Stegostoma tigrinum: one gene and its partner. The protein of the gene in region 2 interacts with the protein of the main gene of each other region in a pairwise test. Links are inferred from orthologs where the notes say so. Each region holds a gene or a part of one and is shown on either strand. Other genes may lie near its edges.

Region 1 (10,997 bases), on a different chromosome or scaffold from region 2:
GACGTTGGATGCCTTCAAGGCAGAGATCGACAAAGTCTTGATCTCAAAAGGAATCAAGGGCTACGGGAGAGTGCTGGGAAGTGGTGTTGAAATGCTCATCAGCCATGATTTAAATGGCGGAGTGGACTTGATGGGCCGAATGGCCTTACTTCCACTCCTATGTCTTATGGTCTTATGGTCTTAATCTCCCTTTCTTGTCACATTTTGCTTAATGTGTGATTACTTGTTTGACCTAGACTAAGCAAACATCGATATCTAACCTCAACATCTGTCATGTCCCTCTCCTTGGCGAATACCGATGCAAAGTACTTGTTAAGAATGTCACCCATTTTCTCTGACTCAGTGCATAACTTTCCTTCTTTGTCCTTAAGTGGGCCAATCCTTTCTCTAGTTACCCTCTTGCTCTTTATATATGAATAAAAGACTTTGGGAATCAGGAACAAAAACAAGATTTCAGGTCCAGTGACCCTTATGCAGAACTGGGGATCAGACTGACCTATCCCCTCCCTACCTCCCCACCTATACTCTACTCTCCACCTATCTTCTTTTCTCTCCATCTTCGGTCCGCCTCCCCCTGTCTCCCTATTTATTCCAGAACCCTCACCCCATCCCCCTCTCTGATGAAGGGTCTAGGCCCGAAACGTCAGCTTTTGTGCTCCTGAGATGCTGCTTGGCCTGCTGTGTTCATCCAGCTTCACACTTTATTATCCACTGCAATTTACTTCTTTTAACCGTTTGCTTCTTAGCTGTTCATCCCCATAGCAACCACAGGTCATGGACATTTATTGGAAACTCATCCTAACAAATTAATAATCTTTCAGCATACACTCTTGATTAATTTTAGTCTTAAAGGTACACCTCACAAAAGAAATTATAGGCATTGCTCGACATAAGGGTTCTCACATTCCCAGTGCTTTTAAGATGTAATACAACATTTGCAGTGGTGATACAATGGATGTATTACATCACTTCTGTTGACATTCATCAGTGTGAGCATTGTTAACAAAACCAATATTTGTTGCTCATTCCTAGTTGTTTTTGAGATGGAAATGGCAAGCTGCCTTCTTGAATTATTGCAGTCCATGAGGTGAAGGTACTTACACAGTGCTATAAGTGTTTTCTTAAGAAGGGTCCAGACCCAAAACATCAGCTTTCCTGCTCCTCTGATGCTGCCTGGCCTGGTACAAGTGTTGTACTTTAAGAAATTTTACTAGACAATGATTAAATAATAACAAAGTATTTCTGAATCAGGATGATTAGAAAAACACTTGTAAGTAGTTGTATTCCACTGCTTTTGCTGTCACTTTCCTTCCAGATAATAAATCTCATGAGATTGGCTGGTTCTGTGGGAAGTGCCATGGTGAGTTGTTGTTGTGTATCTTGTAAATGACACTGAAACCAGAGTGCCCAGAGAGATTGGAGTGTGGGGGGCTGTGTGTGTGCACATTGAGTGAACATTTAAATAATGGATGTGCCAGCCACGGATGACTGCTTTGCCCTAAACAGTGTTGTGTTTCCTGGATATTGTTGCAATGTCATTCATCTTGTGAAATATATTTTACCTCATTCTTTCCTTTTTCTTTGCAGATAGTAGAAATGTTTTGAGGAGTCAGGAGATGAACCTGTTTTTGCATAATGTCCACTGGTTCTTGTGGCCACAGCATTTATTCATTGGTCCAGTTGAGTTTAGGTCAGTGGTAATTACAGGATATTGATGGGGAGGGACACTGTGATAATAAGATTATAGATCATGGAGAGATGGATTAGATTTTTTGTTGAAGTTGGCCATTACCTGGCAACAATGTGATGCAAATGTTACTTGCATTGTACCTTTAAAATGAAAATGAATCTAGAATGTATTAGCACAATCCTGGAGGATGTTCAGGTTTGCCTACATTTACTAATGAATTGCTGTCAGAGGTAGAGCATGTGGTGCATCATTCCCAGTGTTATGGATCAGACTAAAGCCCTTCAAGATATATTAAGACGATAGCCTAGACCATAACTTTTTCTTATTTCAAGTACCAGGTATTGTGTTACAGATCTAATTCGATTGGTCAAACTTCTAGTCTTGAAGCAAAACACATTTCATTTATACACTGTAATTAATATACTACCAAAGGAAGAAAAAAATTGAAATAACGTAATTATGCTGGAAAACTTAACAGAATAATAGATTATTTAACTACGAAACAGTGACTGTTTCAACATAGTAACATCTCATAAACACACTCTTAGCAAAGGAAAATTCAGTAAAATAGATTGTCTCACATGCAATTCTCTAATCCAGCAGGAAAATCATCAAGACAAAACCCTAAGAGAGAGAGAGAGAGACCAAGTTGCAGGGAGAGATGTACTGCAGCTTCCAAACCCAACTTCAAGACCCCAGCAACTGCTACAAGCTAAAACTAAAAATCCTGGTTCTGTGGAAGCTTGACCCCAGCCATTCAGGCTGCTTTTATTGTTCCAACTTAAAAAAAGTGCCTCACAAGCTGTTTAATTTATTGGATTCAAACAGACAGCTTGATACCTCTGTCTTAAAACATGTCTTCAAAACAAAAAGGACAAAATGTACCTCTTAAAGCCATAGTATCATCACACTAGTGGCAGTGATACAGGATACATAGTACTATTTTGAGTGTTACAAATTGAAGCTCAATGTAGCTCTCTGTTGTTTCTGAATCAGAAGGTTAAGGTTTAAGTTCCACTCCACGGACTTGAGTGCAAAATACTGTTCAATACACAAATACTGTATTGAAGGAGTGCTGTGTAGCCTAACTGCTGCGATGTTAAACCAAGGCCCCAACTGCCATCATGGGTAAAACTCCCATGATACCACTTTGACGAACCAAAGGAAATCTCTCCTGGAATTCTTGGAAAATATTTATCCATCAACTAACATGAATGAAACAGATTATCATTTAATAAGGTATCACACATAAGGCTACTTAATAAGATGAGCTCATTGTGATGGGAGTAATGTGTTAGTATTGATAGTGAATTGGTTAACTATTGAAGACAGATTTGGGATAAAAGGAGCATTTTCAGGATGGCAACCTGTGACAACTGGAGTGCCAAAGGGAATAGTGCTAAGGCCACAATTATTTATATGTATATGATTTGGAAGAAGGAAGTAAATGTATTATTGCCAAGTTTGTACATGACATAAAATAGGTGAGAAGGCAAGTAGTGAGGATGACACAATGAGCCCACAATTTAAGTGAGTGAGCCAAAATTTGGAAATGGAACATGATTGCAGATTATCCATTTTCGCAGGAGGAAGAACAGGGCTGAATTTTATTTAATAGGGAAAGACTGCAGAGCGTGCAGAACAGACGGATTTGGAGTCCTTGGACATGAATCACAAAAAGCTAACTCATTTGTTCAGTTGGTAAAAGAGAATGCAAATTCACTATTGGCTTTATTTCTAAGGGAATGGCATGTAAAATAGAGAACAAAAACAGAAAATGCTGGAGAAACTCAATAGGTCTGGCATCATCTGTGGAGAGAATATCAGAATTGAATCCAGTGACCCTTTGTCAGAGTTCTCCATTACTTCCTACTTTTGTTTCAGGTCTCCAGCATTTGCAGTTCTTTATTCTAAAAATAGAGAGGTCTTTCTAAAACCATATAAGGCACTGTTCAGGCCACATCTGGAATACTGTGATCATTTTTGGTCCACTTATTAAAGACGCGAGATACAATAATTGGAGACAGTCCAGAGAAGGTTCACTAGGTTAATTCTGGGTATTGAGGGTCTTTTTTACGACAAGAGGTTAAGTAAGTCGAACTTGTACTCACTGGGCTTTAGAAGAAGAGACCTTATTGAAACATATAGGATTATGGGATCTTGAAGGATAGTTTCCCTCATGAGACAATCCAGGGCTAGAGGGCATAATCTCAGGATAAGAGGTTGCCATTTAAATTAGAGATGAGGAGAACTTTTTCTCTGAGGGTAATCACTCCAGGGAGTTCTTTACACCACAAAGGGCTGTCGAAGCTGGGTCTTTAAACATATTTAAGGCTAAGGCAGGCATATTTTTCACCAGTCAGGAAATCAAAGATCATGGTAATGAAGCCGGAAAATAGAGTTGAGGATTATCAGATCAGCCATGATCTGATTGAATGGCAAAGTGAACACAATGTCCCAAATGCTTCTATGTCTTTCATCCTTATCTGATCCTAATTTCAGTGTTGTTTGAAGAATATTTCTACGCACTAAGTGTATGTTACACCACTAGCTAGGCTAGAATTTTGTGCCCATCTCTAATTACTTGACTTAATCAGCGGCCTGTTTAAATGGCTGCAGTCTATCTGTTGCAGGTATTAGGAATGGTGTTCTTGGATTTTGAGCCAGCAGCAGTGAAGGAATGGTGAGATATCTCAAGTCAGAACGGCATGTCTTAGGGGAAAATTTGCAGGTGCTGGTGTTCCCAGGCATTTGCTTTTCCGTTCCTTCTAGGTGGCTGAGGTTATCTGTTCGGAAGATGGATTGAAGGAAACTTGGTTAATGTTCTGCGATATATCTCGTAGATGGTACTCACTGCTGCCATTGTTTGTTGATGGTTCAGCCATTGTTTGTTGACGGTTCAGCAAGTGAATTTTTAAGATGGTGAATGTTGTGTTGAACAAGCAAGCTGTTTTGTCCTGAATAGTATCAGAGATAATGGGAACTGCAGATGCTGGAGAATTCCAAGATAATAAAATGTGAGGCTGGATGAACACAGCAGGCCAAGCAGCATCTCAGGAGCACAAAAGCTGACGTTTCGGGCCTAGACCCTTCATCAGAGAGGGGGATGGGGAGAGGGAACTGGAATAAATAGGGAGAGAGGGGGAGGCGGACCGAAGATGGAGAGTAAAGAAGATAGGTGGAGAGAGTATAGGTGGGGAGGTAGGGAGGGGATAGGTCAAGGAGGTGGGATGAGGTTAGTAGGTAGCTGGGGGTGCGGCTTGGGGTGGGAGGAAGGGATGGTTGAGAGGAAGAACCGGTTAGGGAGGCAGAGACAGGTTGGACTGGTTTTGGGATGCAGTGGGTGGGGGGGAAGAGCTGGGCTGGTTGTGTGGTGCAGTGGGGGGAGGGGACGAACTGGGCTGGTTTAGGGATGCAGTAGGGGAAGGGGAGATTTTGAAACTGGTGAAGTCCACATTGATACCATATGGCTGCAGGGTTCCCAGGCGGAATATGAGTTGCTGTTCCTGCAACCTTCGGGTGGCATCATTGTGGCAGTGCAGGAGGCCCATGATGGACATGTCATCTAGAGAATGGGAGGGGGAGTGGAAATGGTTTGCGACTGGGAGGTGCAGTTGTTTGTTGCGAACTGAGCGGAGATGTTCTGCAAAGCGGTCCCCAAGCCTCCGCTTGGTTTCCCCAATGTAGAGAAAGCCGCACCGGGTACAGTGGATGCAGTATACCACATTGGCAGATGTGCAGGTGAACCTCTGCTTAATGTGGAATGTCATCTTGGGGCCCGAAACGTCAGCTTTTGTGCTCCTGAGATGCTGCTTGGCCTGCTGTGTTCATCCAGCCTCACATTTTATTATCTTGTCCTGAATAGTGTTGAGCTTCGAGTGATGTTGCAGCTGCACCCATCCAATATCACATTCCTGACTAGAGGATTGTAGACAGTGGGCAGGCACAGTGAACTCGCTATGAGCGGGATTATTTTTGAAAAGTTAATTGTGAAAGTCTTTGGGATGCCCTTACGATGAAAGGCGCTGTTCTCTGCAGTATCTGACAGACCGTGCATATCATGTGTTCTCACTGACCGTGTTCATTGTGTTACTGGGGGCCTCTCCGTCTCTGAGGGCCATCACCGTGACGTTGATCGTCCCAGGGCCACGAACATCGGATCACCAGGACCACAGGGACGGAGAACAGGAATATCGGCACCCACACCGGGCACAGGTGGGTGGGTGTGTCGGGGGGAGTATGGAGCACGAAGATCCACACTAGGAGGAGCAAGCACTAGGGCTGGGGGCAGGATCTAGCCACACAGCGGGTATGGGCGGGGGTAGAGAAAGAGGCGGAGCACCGGGAGCCGCGCAGGGGGAGGAGCGTTAGGACTGAGCAGGATCTGGAGACGCAGCGGGAACAAAGGGGAGGAGCACCAGGACGAGTCCTGTGGCTATCGAGGGGAAACAGACTTTCTGCAACGGCACTGGTAAACAGTTGACGGTAAGAGTCGGGGGGCGACTGAGGTTAAATGAGTAAGAGGGTCGGGCGTGTTGACAGCGAATGGGGAAAACTGTGCAGTGATTGTGGGTAGGTGTTTTAGGAGTGAAAGTGGGTGAGGTTGAAGGGTTTAGGGTACCAGGGGCCTGGTCTCCATGGTAAGATGTTGTGGAAAGGACGCCACGACCGGATCCACCGCTCAACTGGAACTAGTTTGGATGAAGAGTCTTTTCCATACCCGGGTGGAGCGGGATGGAGGAAAAAGTGGGGGTTTGGGGTTTGTAGAGAGTCCTTTCCCTGTTTGAGTGTTCCCGGCCCATTCTCTCAGTGAAAGGAAGGAGGTAGGGAGTTATGTCGATTCCGAACTACTTATGGATTCGGGCTGCTCGAGTCCCGAAGAGAGCTGTGAGCTGAGTTTGTTTTTATGACCTCTCCCGGAGCCCTTTTCGGACTGTATCCTGTTTCGTGCAGGAAACTAGAGATTCCCCCGGAAAATGGCTAGGTGGGAATCCTGTCTGGTTGTTTCCCGGTTGTTTTCTGGTTGTTGAATGACCAGCAGCTGCTTCCATTCCTGAATGTCTTTATATTTAAATCGCTTTCGATTTCGACTGGGTATTATCGTTTCGATATTTCGAATAGTTTCGCCTTTAAGCTGGTTGTTTTCTTATTCGCTTGTACTGCCCTTGTTTAAATCTCTGTTGATCCGCACAGCCCCATTTCCGAATGGTGGCGTCTAAGTTGAACAGACAGTAGATTAATGGACCAAGCGAAAATGTTGTTTTTCTCCCTTCGCGCTTACAATAAATACGCTGCTTCCTTATCAAAACAGCTTCACGCAAAATATCGAACGAAAATAAGTTGCTGGAAAAACTCAGGTCTGGCAATATCTGTTAAGACAAATCAGAGTTAAAGTTTCGGGTCCGGTTACTTCCTGAGAAATATGAGATCAGACCTGAAATATTAACTCTGACTTTTCTTCACAGATGTTGCCAGACTTGCTGAGCTTTTCCAGCAACTTTATTTGGGCCCCAATTTACAGCGTCCGCAGTTCTTCCGTTTTATCAAACAAGATACTGTTTGATCAACATCGATATTTCTAGTGAGATTGCTGTTCTCTGTGCGTATCGTAATCAATTTGTACTACCGGGAGTGTGAGACGACAACATTTTAAACGTCTTTTCTCATATGGTTGACCTATCAAAATTCTGCGTGATTGGTGAATGTTTTCTTGTCCTCCTAGCTATTAATCGTTCCTGATGAAATGCTATTTTAGTCCGTGCTTTGAGGGATTCTCCAAAAGTTTTTAAGTTTAACGTTATTAACCATTTATATAGTTTCCTGTGGCGAGGGTCCTGTTTCTGATATCTAGCTTGTTTTAGTTTTGGGTTATCCTCAGTCGGCGAAGGTTTACGAAGAGTAGGTACCACACAGAACTGCAAGGGAAAATGGAGCTTTGTTTTCTGGTTTGAGGAAATTCTAACGTGCTCAATCCCTCCCTGATACCTGTTTTTAACAGGTTTTGTTTGAAGCAGCAAATAATGTGATTGGATTTGTTTATCTTTGTAAATAACTAATTTGTGCATCACTTATGGAGTAAATGTTAAATCTACATTAAATAATCTGGCGTCAGGAACTGATTGACCAACTTTCATATCTCTGGTTGTGAGCAGTTTTTGTTTGACTTGGATTAAATATCATAGTATGATAAATTGCTGTTACTTTTCCAGAGCAGTATATTATTTTGTGTAAATTATATTATGTAAATATTGAAATAGAATATGGTCACAATTGTGATTATTTTGTTCAACTAAGGTGTATGGATTCTAAAGGTGGTTTAGTGGTACTAGTTGAAACAACTAAATTGTGCTGCCTATAATATAAAATCAAAGGATATTTTATAAATACCTCACTACTTTAGTGAACACGTCTCTGAACAGCTGTAAAATAACCAGTGCAAACCTTTTACACAAGATAAGAGGTGGAATCTGCAGAAGGATGTACTGTGCACTGTTTTCAATTGAAAATAAGTATTTGATGTAAGGTTAAAAGAAGGTAACATCAACGGTTCATTTATGCGTGCCTTTTTGAACTGGAAGACTTTAACACACAGGTTCTTCCACAAGCCTTCCAGTTTCATTGAGGCATGCACTGATGCATTAAAATAATAGATGATTTGTTGATAAATTGAGACGTTGATTTGGAATGGGAAAATGAAAGGAATGATATCACGGAATGACTGCAGATGTCATGTCATGTGTACATGATTAGAAAATGTTTAGGTTTAGCGAGGTGACACAAGTAAGATTCAACTTATAAATAAAGTAGTTGAATGTTTGAATATGTTCAAATAATAGAATTGATGTTATGTTATTTAATAGATGATGCAGTCTGGTCGCTGCTGTCATGGAGATTTGAAGGCTAATGATTTTCTATAATTCACAAAAAGAAGATTGCCTGCTTACTAATAAGTGATTAGAATACATTTTAAATTGGTTCATGATGTGAGAGATTTCACTGCTGCCCATTCTAAAAAATATATATAGTGTTTTTAAGTCCTAGTAGTACCAATCTAAATACCTGTTGTTCTGTTCATCAGAATGAAAGAAATGAAGAACTAAAAAATTTGAATCCATCCACTTGAAGTGTGACACTCTGATATTTCATTCTTAAAAGCTTGTGTTGTATTGCAGACTTTGTAACATGAGGTTAATGTGTATATTTGAATTGCGTCTAAAATAATTAATAAAGACCATTGTAATGTGATATTATCCAATTTTCTATATTTTTTCTGTCTATTTGTTCACATCAATAACATGGCTGATCTGAGGATGGTGCAAATCACAGTCTCAACGCATGGCTAAAACTTGTATTCTCACCCCAAAGTAGCAAAATCTTGTTCTCCGTTAATTGGAATAATTAATTGAGTTAACCTGCACACAATTCATGGTGCGCACAAAAGATTTGCACTTTTGCCTTTTGTGCATTAATGTTGTATCATTGCATCCAATTTATGCACAAATTCTCTCAATGTATTTTAAATAAATAAGGGATAAATGCTCGCTATGTCACTGGGGAGAACTCTTCTGCTGTTTGATTAATGCCATGGATTCCTTTACATTACTCTGGAAGGGAAAGTGCATTTTAGGCTTGAAGTCTCAACTGAAAGACGTATCTCCCTGTGCTGAATGCCAGTCTGGACTGTTTCCTGAAGTTGGTTTTTTTTTTGACACTTTTTTTTAAGCTGTTTTCTATTGACTAGTAAAATGAGTCTTGAATCTACAATTTTTGTTTAAACCCAGAAGTAAGAATGCCAGTAATTGAACCATGGCTAGCATACTGTTAATCACACTATACCTGGAGTAAAGATGAATATATTTAACACTGATTCTGTTGTAATACAGCCTCATTCTGTAATCGCTGACCTGAAACAAGAACAATGAAGGTAGTGCTCTCCATCCACCTTGCTTCAATCACTTAGACCTTCATGCTGATTTGTACCTCAAGTATAACATGGGGCTTGATTAATTTGGGAGGGCACTGGTACCAAAAAAAATCCTCTCCTCTTTGTTTAACTGTAGCCACAGCAACAAAATTTCAGAGGATGCTCCTCGTTTTGGTTTACCATAGAAAGCATTGGTGTGGCAAATTCATTGCAAATAGATGATTGAGATAGACACACCACACTGTGGTGTCCATTTTTCCTTCTACAGGGAGTGCTGGCTGTAGTATTTCCATGTAATGTATAGCAATCCCAAAATAAATATTATGAAATAAATGCATTTCTGAAGAAGGGTCTAGGCCTGAAACATCAGCTTTCCTGCTCCTCTGCTGCTTGGCCTGCTGTGTTCATCCAGCTCTGCACCTTGTCATCTTAAGTATTGTGATCATGACTTTAATGTAAATGTATAAACATTTACATGTTTCAAAAGGGCAAAAACTTTGGAAACATTCAAACTTTATAATATATCTGTCCTTATTCAGAGTGTAATAGACTTATACTTGGAATTATAGTTTGCAATTGCAACATTATATGTAGAAATGCTGCAGTTACCCTGAGCTATCAAGTAATACTTGGTGGACAGACAAAATATAATGAAGTGATTTATTTTGTCTCTATTGGTTTTCTGTGTTGGAGCATGTTATGAGGAGTATCTTTTGAGTTCTCTTTCAGGAAAATAAAATAACTCTGAGAAATATTTCCTTTATTTTTTAGGTTATCTTTTGAACAATCAGAGTTGGCCTTTACAATGCACCTGGAGTCCCAGGCACTGACTCTAGTGATTGCATGATGCTTTTGTGTTGTATGCACTAATCATGACATTTTACTTTTTCTCCTTTTTTTGCAAAATGAACAAAAAAGAAACTAAAACAAGATTAAGCATAGTGATGGATTTGGGTAGCTTTTAATTTGCCTGATCTGGGTTCAAAAGTAGGTTTCTGAAGAAGGGTTCCTGACTCAAAATGTCAGCTTTCCTACTACTCTGCTGCCTGGCCTGTGTTCTTCCAGCTCCACATTGTGTTATCTCTGACTCCGGCATTGGCAGTTCTTGCCAACTCTTTGCAAGAACTCTTTCTGTTTTCTATATTTTAGAAAAGAAAAATTCTTGGTTTTATGTCCTGGGAACCATTCTTTGTGCGAGCCATCTCTGCTTGCTTGTAGCTGTTAAACCTGCCATGAGTTGAGTGGTGGCAGACTTGTTAGCATCTTAGAAACCAGATTTAGAAGCATAAGTGCAGAATCTGGTTTGTGAACCAAGGGATTCCGGAACCTGACTTAAAGACCAATGTGGATGTGGTATTAGTCTGTATGAGATGTTTTACTGGG
Region 2 (10,856 bases):
CCCAACCAAATGCTGTGAACACATCTTCATCACCAACTTACTGTTCCACCAAAAGGACAAACAATAGCACCATGACTACATCATCATTAAAGCAAGCAATTGCAAAGACTTTAAAATCACCTACGCCGACAACTGTTGGCAGTCAATCACCAGATCCAAGCCAGAATCAACAAAAATATAGCCCGGCACGAAGTTTAACATTGAGGCACTCAAGATTTTGGAAAAGACAGCTTCATACAAATAACTCCCCTCACAAATTTAGTGATCCTTGGTGACACTGAGTTGTGGGATTCCAACAGCCTCTGGTCCCCCTCAAGGACACTATCATTAATGGCTGCAAGAACTCGACCAGTCACTGAACCAGGAAACATCAAGACTTGTTTGACAAGAATGAACAGGAGATTCAAGAATTTTCAAGCCAGAAGTACGGGGAATTTCTGTGTGTAAAACTGCAACTGCACGCCAAAGAAAAATGGGAGGCCGACAGGCGACCAAAGACTGGGGTCCAACAACAAATCTATAATATAAAAAACAGATGGAGGCCCAACAAATGGCTGACTACCATAATATGCAGGGTTTCTCCAGTGCTAGTATGAACACCTATCGACCAAGTACCCAAGACCCCAAACCCCTGCTGGCTGAGGAGTGAATCTTTTCAAAGACAAAGAAACCATCAAACAGCATGAGGGAAGCATGTCAAAGACCTCCTCAACCAAGGCTCTGTCATCAATCCAAGCAATCTTGACCACATCCCACAGCACGCTAGACAGCATGAGGTCAGCAACACTCCGGCTGCACATTAAGTATAGAAAGCCTTCCACAAGGTCAAGAACAACAATGCTGTTGGAGCAAATGGCATCCCCACTGAGGCACTGAAGTATAGAGACAATGACTTCCTGCTGCGGCTACACGCCTTTATCTGTCTGATCTGGAAAGAGGACAGCATCCCAGGATAACTCCAAAACGCCATAATCTTGAGCGATTTCCAAAAATGAAATAAGTGCGACTGTGTAATGACTGTGGTGCCGACAATCATTGGAAAAATCATCGCCAAGTTCCTCCCCTCAATCATTTCCTCCCTGCAGTAATGTTGCTTCTGGCCATGCAGGGACACAATGGACATGATTTTCACCCTGTGACAGCTGCATGAAAAATGCAGAGAAAAGAATCGACCCATGTACATGGCCTTCGACGCCTTCAACTAGGAAGAATTATGAAGCATCCTCTGCTTTGGCTACACACAAAGTTTGTCACCATTCTATGCCTATTCCACAACAGTGTGGAGGTTATGGTAGTGACAAATGGCTCCACTCCCCGATCCATTCCCTGTTCAATTCAGTACCAAGAGGCCTACATCACCCAAACACTGTTCTCAATCTACCTCACTGCAATGCTTTACCTCACCAAACTCTCCAATGGAGTGCAGCTAATCTACAGAACCAGCAGAAAATTATTCGACCTCCGCCACCTTCAAGCCAAAACCAAAATCACCACAGCTAGTGTCATCGAGCTATAGTACACAGATGATGCTTGCATATGTGCAAACTCAGAGGTCAAAGCCTAGACCGTCATCAGCACTTTGCAGAGGCATATGACAGCATGGGTCTCAGCGAACATCCAAACAATGAAGCTCCTCCAACAACCTGGCCCAGCATTGCTAAGTGAGCCCCTGATCACAGTTCATGGGGAGGCCTTAGAGAACACTGTCCACTTTCAACACCTCAGCAGCGTCCTGTCGACTAAAACAGTCATTGAATAAGAGATCCAGCACTGCCTCCATTGTGCTAGCACAGCATACAACTGCCTGAGGGAAAGGTGCTCCAGGACAACAACAGCAAAGGAGCATTTTTATCAGTTGACGGTGGGAGTGAAGGGACAAAGTCAACATAACAAAGTGTGAAGCTGGATGAACACAGCAGGCCAAGCAGCATCTCAGGAGCACAAAAGCCTAGACAAAGTCAACAGTTTTTTTCTGAAGAAACCTACTCACTTTGAATTCTAACGTTTTTCCTTTTTAAATTAACAATATGAATACTACAAAGAAATTTTAAAAAAGCCACATCTAACCAAGACCATTTTTTGATCATATTTATACGAGACAGAGGACTACAAAGAAAGTGAATAGACTTGCACAGATTTTTTGTTTGATTAAAACAAAGGCTTTCAGTGTTACAGTTCCCAATGGTAAAGGCCAATCTGAGGCTATGACTCCAAATTTAAAATTAAACCAATTTAAATGAAAGATTATACATATTTTGTCACCTCCAACTGTTCTTTAAACCACTAAGATTCATCCCAAAACCAAGGGTGCACAAGAAAACTATTGCCTTAAAGTCCATTGACACGTGAGAATCAACTTTTCCTGAAAAGGATCTTCCTCTCAATCCAAGTCAAAATGGAGTTTTGTCATGTTATTAATCAAAACATATACCATTTACTTGCTGGTATTTTAACATGAACTGTCATTCAAATGCAAAATGCAAGAGCCATTGCGTACTGAACATTTGGGGAATGACTAAAGTATATCTCTGTAATGTTTTCATGATTCAAAATGCAAAAACTTCCAAAACATCTGTTCTGCTGCGTAGTCCGTTCACAAAAATTTCAGTTCCAGTTCTCTCATAACTAGAGTCATACAGCGCAGAAACAGATCCTTTGGTCCAACCAATCCATGCTGTTCATAATTCCAAACTAAACTGGTCCTACCTGCCTTCCCTTGGCACACATCCTTCCAAACATTTCTTATTCAAGTACTTAACTAAATGTCTTTTAACGGTTGTAACCATACCCTCATCCACCACAAGTTCATTCCACACACAAAACCACCCTATGTAAAAATTGTCCTTCATGTCTGTTTTAAATTTTTCTCCACTCATCGTAAAAATATGCCCCTAGTCTTTAAATCCCTAGAAATTTAAATGCCCTTAGGGAAAAGACACCTGCCATTCTGTACCCATCATGATTTTATAAACCTCTATAAGGTCAACTCTCAACCTCCTATGCTCCCGTGAAGAGTCCCAGCCTCTCCCTGTAGCTCAAACCCTCCATCCTAGAATCCTGATAAATCTCTTCTGAATCTTCTCCAGCTAAATAATATCCTTCCTGTAACAGGGAGACCAGTAATGGACACAGTGCTCCTGAAGAGGCCTCACCAACATCCTGTTTAATCAACATACCTTCCTAACTCCTATATTCAAATCTGAGGCAATGAAGGAAAGCATGCTAAACGCCTTTTTAAACACCCTATATATGTGTGACGCAAACTTCAAAAAATTATGTACCTGAACACCTCAGTCTCCATTATACAACACTGTCCAAGATTCTATTTTTAATTCTGTTTGTTTTACCAAAATGCAATAGCTAGCATTTATCCAAATTAAACTTTATTTGCCATTAATGAAACAAAATATAGCAACTGCATTTGCACTCAAAACTAATAATATAAAACATGCATGAATTGGTAAGTTGGATTTCTGTTGAACCCACGGTTTAAAGCACCAACTGAAATCGTGAGATGTAGTTCAATCAAGGCACAGCACAGAACTGACAAGTACACGTTTTGATTTTTAAAAGTATAGATTTTAGCACCTAACCTTGATACAGCTATGATATATTTAATTTCAATTATCCCAAATGTTTCCATAGTTCAATTTAACAATGGAATAAATTTTAACAATGCAGAGATGGCATTACTTCATTCCCATGAATTTTTTTCAAAATGGCAGGCAATCACTTCTGAAAACAGTAAGCTTAAAACATTCGAACGTTAGAATAAATAATCAGTGTGACACAGAAAAAAAAACCCGTGAAAGAAACTCTGATTATCTTCTATTGAGAGAATGTACTGCACTCCAATACTACCCTAGATGTCCAATGCCATCCTATTACATTACAATTAAGACTCGCAGGCAGCCGGTTACATCTCTCAACATGACGTACACTTTTGATTCTAGATTGAGAAATTTCATAATAAACAAACCGGTTGTACCCGTCACTTTCCGTAGAAGTAAAATGCTTCTTATCTGTACGTAACCCAAGAGCTGAGTTATGTTTTTAAGACATAAACGATTAATATGCTACGTCCAATCTTTTGTTATTTAGTTGATGCCCGAATGCACTGACCTGCACCTGTTTGCGGAAGTGGAGCACCTTGGACGCTGCGCAATGCCAATAATGTCAGTAAGAGATTGCCGGCGTGTATCGCCATTCTCGGCTGGGATTGACTGCTCGTCGTCGTCAGGGTCTCGAAAGATCATCAATCTGAAGCATTTATACGAACAGACCGATTTGCCGTCAATACGAGCCGATGTCAACGTTCAACTCTTCCCCACTTCCCCGCCCGCCCTCCGTCCCTTTAAATACCAACAGCAGGCCGGCCGCCGCGCTCTCCCCTTCTGGAGCTTTTCTTTCGGATTTTTCGGCAGCAAACAGTCGCTGGAGTCGGACCACAGAAACTCATCCTTACTCACAGGCCTTGAACGCCTCTCCACACCGATTTTTCTCCCAGATCCCAGCCCCAATCCATTATTCTCGCGGTCGGTAACATTCCATTCATCTGTTTTGTCTGTGCGACGATGGTGGTTTTATTTTAATTTGCACTTTCGCTAGTGATACAACCTCCCACCTCCCGTCAATTTTCCCACAGCCGCCATCATGCCTGCTCGCGTCCGGAAACAGTCTGCTCCGCTCCTCCGCTGTGACTGACAACGCTCTCTGACCAATTGGACGCCTCTGTGACCTGGGAAGCGCAGCCAATCAACGATAGGGGCGGGAATTCCGGGCTGAAGGCTGTAATGGACGGACTCGTCCCCGGGAGTCTGCGTCATTCGCCTAGCAACCGCAGGAGACAAGCAGGGGCAGTTTGGGGCAGGCTCTTGGAGTGTGTTGCTAAGGACCTAGTAATTGAGTAACATCCTTCGAGGTCAGGACTGTTTCTCGACCTTATAATAGGTATTCACAATATGACTGCTGCCATCCCTTAACGTGACTCAATGTTAATTGGATCGAGGCGTTGAAAATTATATGACTGGCTTGATTTCCTCCTCACAGAGAACCTTACAATAAGTTTTTTTATATGCTAGTTCTTTGAATGGAATTAGCCCAACTTCCTCTGGTTTTACCACATAGCTTCACTGTTTTTTTTTCTTTTTAATTGTGCAATTCATAACAATTAGCTGCACTGTTTTGAAAAATCGTCCTTCTAATCTATCCATTGCTTTCTTAGCAATCTTAAATCTGCGCCATCACATGACTGAATCTCCAGTACCATACCATCTTCCAAACCCCTAGATCCTCATTTCTTTCCCTCTTTGCTCTATCTCAATTTCATCTTTGGGGCCTGCCTTATAAACAAACTCTTTGGTCAAACTTTGGTCATCTGTCGTAATATAACACAGTGCTACAATTTGTTTCATATGACCCAAGTAAAGCGCTCTGGTATGTTTTATATCATTACAGGCTGTATATAAATTTTAGTTGTTATCTATTCCATTAAAATCCTTCCTAATTTTCAACATTTCTTAAATTTCCCTTGCACCTACCTTGCCATAAGAAAAAACGTTATTTGTAATTTTTAATTAATTTTTAAAAGCATTCAGTGATTAGAACATAGAACATAGAACAGTACAGCACAGAACAGGCCCTTCAGCCCACAATGTTGTGCCGACCATTGATCCTCGTGTATGCACCCTCAAATTTCTGTGACCATATGCATGTCCAGCAGTCTCTTAAATGACCCCAATGACCTTGCTTCCACAACTGCTGCTGGCAACGCATTCCATGCTCTCACAACTCTCTGTGTAAAGAACCCACCTCTGACATCCCCTCTATACTTTCCACCAACCAGCTTAAAACTATGACCCCTCGTGCTAGCCATTTCTGCCCTGGGAAATAGTCTCTGGCTATCAACTCTATCTATGCCTCTCATTATCTTGTATACCTCAATTAGGTCCCCTCTCCTCCTCCTTTTCTCCAATGAAAAGAGACCGAGCTCAGTCAACCTCTCTTCATAAGATAAGCCCTCCAGTCCAGGCAGCATCCTGGTAAACCTCCTCTGAACCCTCTCCAAAGCATCCACATCTTTCCTATAATAGGGCGACCAGAACTGGAGGCAGTATTCCAAGTGCAGTCTAACCAAAGCCTTATAGAGCTGCAACAAGATCTCACGACTCTTAAACTCAATCCCCCTGTTAATGAAAGCCAAAACACCATATGCTTTCTTAACAACCCTGTCCACTTAGGTGGCCATTTTAAGGGATCTATGTATCTGCACACCAAGATCCCTCTGTTCCTCCATGCTGCCAAGAATCCTATCCTTAATCCTGTACTCAGCTTTCAAATTCGACCTTCCAAAATGCATCACCTCGCATTTATCCAGGTTGAACTCCATCTGCCACCTCTCAGCCCATCTCTGCATCCTGTCAATGTCCCGCTGCAGTCTACAACAGCCCTCTATACTGTCAACGACACCTCCGACCTTTGTGTCGTCTGCAAACTTGCTGACCCATCCTTCAATCCCCTCATCCAAGTCATTAATAAAAATTACAAACATTAGAGGCCCAAGGACAGAGCCCTGTGGAACCCCACTCACCACTGACTTCCAGGCAGAATATTTTCCTTCTACTACCACTCGCTGTCTTCTGTTGGCCAGCCAATTCTCTATCCAAGCAGCTAAGTTCCCCTGTATCCCATTCCTCCTGACCTTCTGAATGAGCCTACCATGGGGAACCTTATCAAATGCCTTACTGAAGTCCATATACACCACATCCACAGCTCGAACCTCATCAACTTTTCTAGTCACATCCTCAAAAAACTCGATAAGGTTTGTGAGGCATGACCTACCCCTCACAAAGCCGTGTTGACTGTATTTGATCAAGCCATGCTCCTCCAGATGGTCATAAATCCTATCCCTCAGAATCCTTTCTAACACCTTGCAGACGACAGACGTGAGACTTACTGGTCTGTAATTGCCGGGGATTTCCCTATTTCCTTTCTTGAAGAGCGGAATTACATTTGCCTCTCTCCAGTCCTCAGGTACGACTCCAGTGGAGAGAGAGGATGCAAAGATCTTCACAAGTGGTGAAGTAATTTCATTTCTCGCTTCCCAAAGCAGCCGAGGACAAATCTGGTCCGGGCCTGGCGACTTGTCAATCTTAATGTTTGACAAAATTTTCGGCACATCAGCTTCCTCTATCTCTATCCATTCTAGCATGCACACCTGCTCTTCAAAGGTTTCATTCACTACAAAGTTCGTTTCTTTCGTAAAGACAGAAGCAAAAAACTCATTAAGGGCTTCCCCTACCTCCTCAGACTCCACACACAAGTTCCCTATGCTATCCCTGATCGGCCCTACTCTTTCTTTGACCATTCTCTTATTCCTCACATAAGTGTAAAATGCCTTTGTGTTTTCCCTGATTCCTTCTGCCAAGCCTTTCTCGTGCCCCCTCCTGGCTCTCCTCAGACCTTTTTTGAGCTCCTTCCTTGCCTGCAAGTAATCCTCTCTAGCTGAACTTGACCCTAGCTTCCTCCACCTTATGTAAGCTACCTTCTTCCTTTTCACAAGAAGCTGCACCGCTCTCGTCATCCAAGGTTCCTTTATCTTACCCCTTCTTGCCTGTCTCAGAGGGACATATTTACTCATCACTCGCAACAACTGTTCCTTAAACAGTCTCCACATGTCTATAGTTCCCTTACCATGGAACAATTGCTCCCAGTCCGTGCTTCCTAACTCGTGTCTAATCGCGTCATAGTTTCCTCTTCCCCAATTAAATATCCTCCCATTTTGCCTAATCCTCTCCTTCTCCATAGCTATGTAGAATGTGAGGCAGTTATGGTCACTATCACCAAAATGCTCTCCCACCACAAGATCTGATACCTGCCCCGGCTCGTTTCCGAGCACCAAGTCTAGAATGGCCTCTCCCCTCGTCGGCCTGTCAACGTACTGCGTTAGGAAACCCTCCTGAACACACCTTACAAATACAGCTCCATTCAAATCTTCTGCTCGAAGCAGGTTCCAATCAATATTAGGAAAGTTAAAGTCACCCATTACAACAACCCTACTGCAACCACACTTTTCCAAAATCTGTCGACCTATGCTTTCTTCAATCTCCCTGCTGCTATTGGGGGGCCTGTAGTAAACCCCTAACGAGGTGACTGCTCCCTTGCTGTTCCTAATTTCCACCCAGACTGACTCAGTAGGCAGATCTTCCTCGACAATGGAAGCTTCTGTAGCTGTGATACCCTCTCTGATTAGTAGTGCTACACCCCCTCCTCTTTTTCCCCCCTCCCTATTCTTTTTAAATGTTCTAAACCCTGGAACATCCAGCAACCATTCCTGCCCATGAGAAACCCATGTCTCTGTTATGGCCACAACATCATAGCACCAGGTACTGATCCATGCTCTAAGTTCATCACTTTTATTCCTGATACTCCTCGCGTTAAAGCAAACACACTTTAACTGATCCCTTGGTTCCTTCCCAGGAAAATCCTTCCCACTAGCTGGTCTACCTCTTGCTACTGCCTCACCTGCATCAACTCTCACCTCCGGTATACAGCTCAGGTTCCCACCCATCTTTCTAAGAAACTTAAATTTATGTATTTATAAAATTAATGCAATAGAAACATCCTGCAATAGAACTGTTGTTAAGACTGAATTTCAGGTTAAGGATAATTAAATTTTAAACCTATTAGTGTCTCATGGGTTTGCCAACATCAACAAAATGCTTCATGTGAGATTCATAATTATGGACTAATAAACCAGTTGATTTCTAACAGGGCCAAGCATCAATATAAGCTGTTTGAAAGTCAAATTCAGTCACTGTCACACAGTAGTGATTGACCTATATCTATTTTAATGGAGCAATTTGGCTTGAAGGATACTCCAATGAAGATAATGATACCTTGGCTGCCCTCTAACATAACGTTGCTATGTTTAGATTGAAATATGTTTACAAGTTTTCACAATGGATATTTGGAAAACTTTGCCATCAAGAAATTTTGGTCGTCACCTTACCCTTTTCTGCTTTAAAATGCTCCTCGATATCTATCTGTTTCACCAAGCCGATGATTGCTAGTGCTAATATGTGCTTTTGTTGGCTTTGTATCCATTTGGCAGGATTAGGCTTTGGGGTGTGGTGGTGTTCTATTATGTTAAAGCTGCAACACAGATGCAAGATCTCATTGTTAGTCACATCAGTTAGGAAGATTCCAAGTTTTTAAATCACTGTCTTTGAGTTAGTTGATTACATGCAGAGCAACTGCAGAAGTACTGCATTGGTTTAAGTAGTCTGGGCTTTACACAGAGGTGAATCATTCATGCTTCCCAGCCCTCATTTCTATCTGACCTTGCTGAAAACAGTACGTTTGTGATCATCAGAATGATAAGATTGGTCCGATAGTCACCACAGTACTATATAGTGTTAGATATGAATTATGAGTACTTCAAGCGAGGATGGCGTTAGAGGGCCATGGAACTCCGTCAGTTCCTTCTTTGTAATTGTAAAAGCACTGGAAACAAAACTTAACATATTCACAATAAAGATAACAAAGTGTGAAGCTGGATGAACACAGCAGGCCAAACAGCATCTCAGGAGCACAAAAGCTGACATTTCGGGCCTAGACCCTTCATCGGAGAGGGGAATGGGGAGAGGGTTCTGAAATAAATAGGGAGAGAGACGGATGGAGGAGAAGATAGGTGGAGAGGAGAGTATAGGTGGGGAGGTGGGGAGGGGATAGGTCAGTCCACGGAGGATGGACAGATCAAGGAGGCGGGATGAGGTTAGCAGGTGGGAAATGGAGGTGCGGCATAAGGTGGGAGGAGGGGATAGGTGAGAGGAAACACAGGTTAGGGAGGAGTAGACGAGCTGGGCTGGTTTTGGGATGCAGTGGGGGGAGGGGACAAGCTGGGCTGGTTTAGGGATGCAGTGGGGGAGGGGGAGATTTTGAAGCTTGTGAAGTCCACATTGATGCAATTGGGCTGCAGGGTTCCCAAGCAGAATATGAGTTGCTGTTCCTGCAACCTTCGGGTGGCATCATTGTGGCACTGCAGGAGGCCCAGGATGGACATGTCATCTAAAGAATGGGAGGGGGAGTTAAAATGGTTCACGACTGGGAGCTGCAGTTGTTTATTGCGAACAAAGCGGAGGTGTTCTGCAAAGCGGTCCCCAAGCCTCCGCTTGGTTTTTCTGCAAAGCAGTCCCCAAGCCTCCGCTATAAAGCTAGGGTGTTGATCTGCAACCTGATTTGTAACTTGTCTAGGGTCTGAATTCAAGAATGCAAAGGAATAACATTTATGGTTAAAAGAGAAATGTGTTTAAACATTGGCAGCCTAATATTATTATTCTTTCCATTGTAAAACACTTCTTGCCTCTTAAAAAGCACACTCTTTACTTAGCATGTGCAGTTTCATGGATTCACAGGCTTCAAGGATTGGTTTTTGGACGTGGTAGCAGAGCAGTATTGTTACTGGACTAGCAATCCAGGGCTCCAGGCTAATGCCTTGAGGACGTGGGTTTAAAATCATCTTGGCAGATGGTGAAAATTCAATTAAATCTGGAAGCAAAAAGATCATCATTGGTTTTATGGTTAAAATATCAATTGTCAGCTTGATGAAGCTACTACACAGGACTATTTGCATGCCGAACATCATATGATAGACAGGGCTGAGCAGTCCCACAACCAGTTGATCAAATCCAAGCTCTGAGGACCTGCCCCAATCAGCCATGAATGGTGGTGGAAAACTAAACTGCTCACTGCAGAAGAAGACTCCACAAATATCTCTCTCCATGATGTGAAAGCCCAGCACATTAGTCAAACCTGAAATATTAACATCAATCTTCATCCAGAAGTGCTGAGTGAAT

Evidence for each region.
Region 1: the proteins of lmtk2 (region 2) and unconventional myosin-VI interact in a two-hybrid assay, tested with the Homo sapiens proteins (2 studies listed by BioGRID). The link is inferred for Stegostoma tigrinum from reciprocal best matches to the Homo sapiens genes LMTK2 and MYO6.

Annotation. Positions count from the first base shown.
Region 1 is NC_081362.1:28,015,824-28,026,820, forward strand, and holds the start of unconventional myosin-VI, read left to right. Parts: upstream 1-6,047; 5' UTR 6,048-6,175; intron 6,176-10,997. UniProt on the Homo sapiens protein: Myosins are actin-based motor molecules with ATPase activity. Unconventional myosins serve in intracellular movements. Myosin 6 is a reverse-direction motor protein that moves towards the minus-end of actin filaments.
Region 2 is NC_081376.1:35,092,222-35,103,077, reverse strand, and holds the start of lmtk2 (serine/threonine-protein kinase LMTK2), read right to left. Parts: upstream 4,331-10,856; 5' UTR 4,208-4,330; coding exon 4,123-4,207; intron 1-4,122. UniProt on the Homo sapiens protein: Phosphorylates PPP1C, phosphorylase b and CFTR.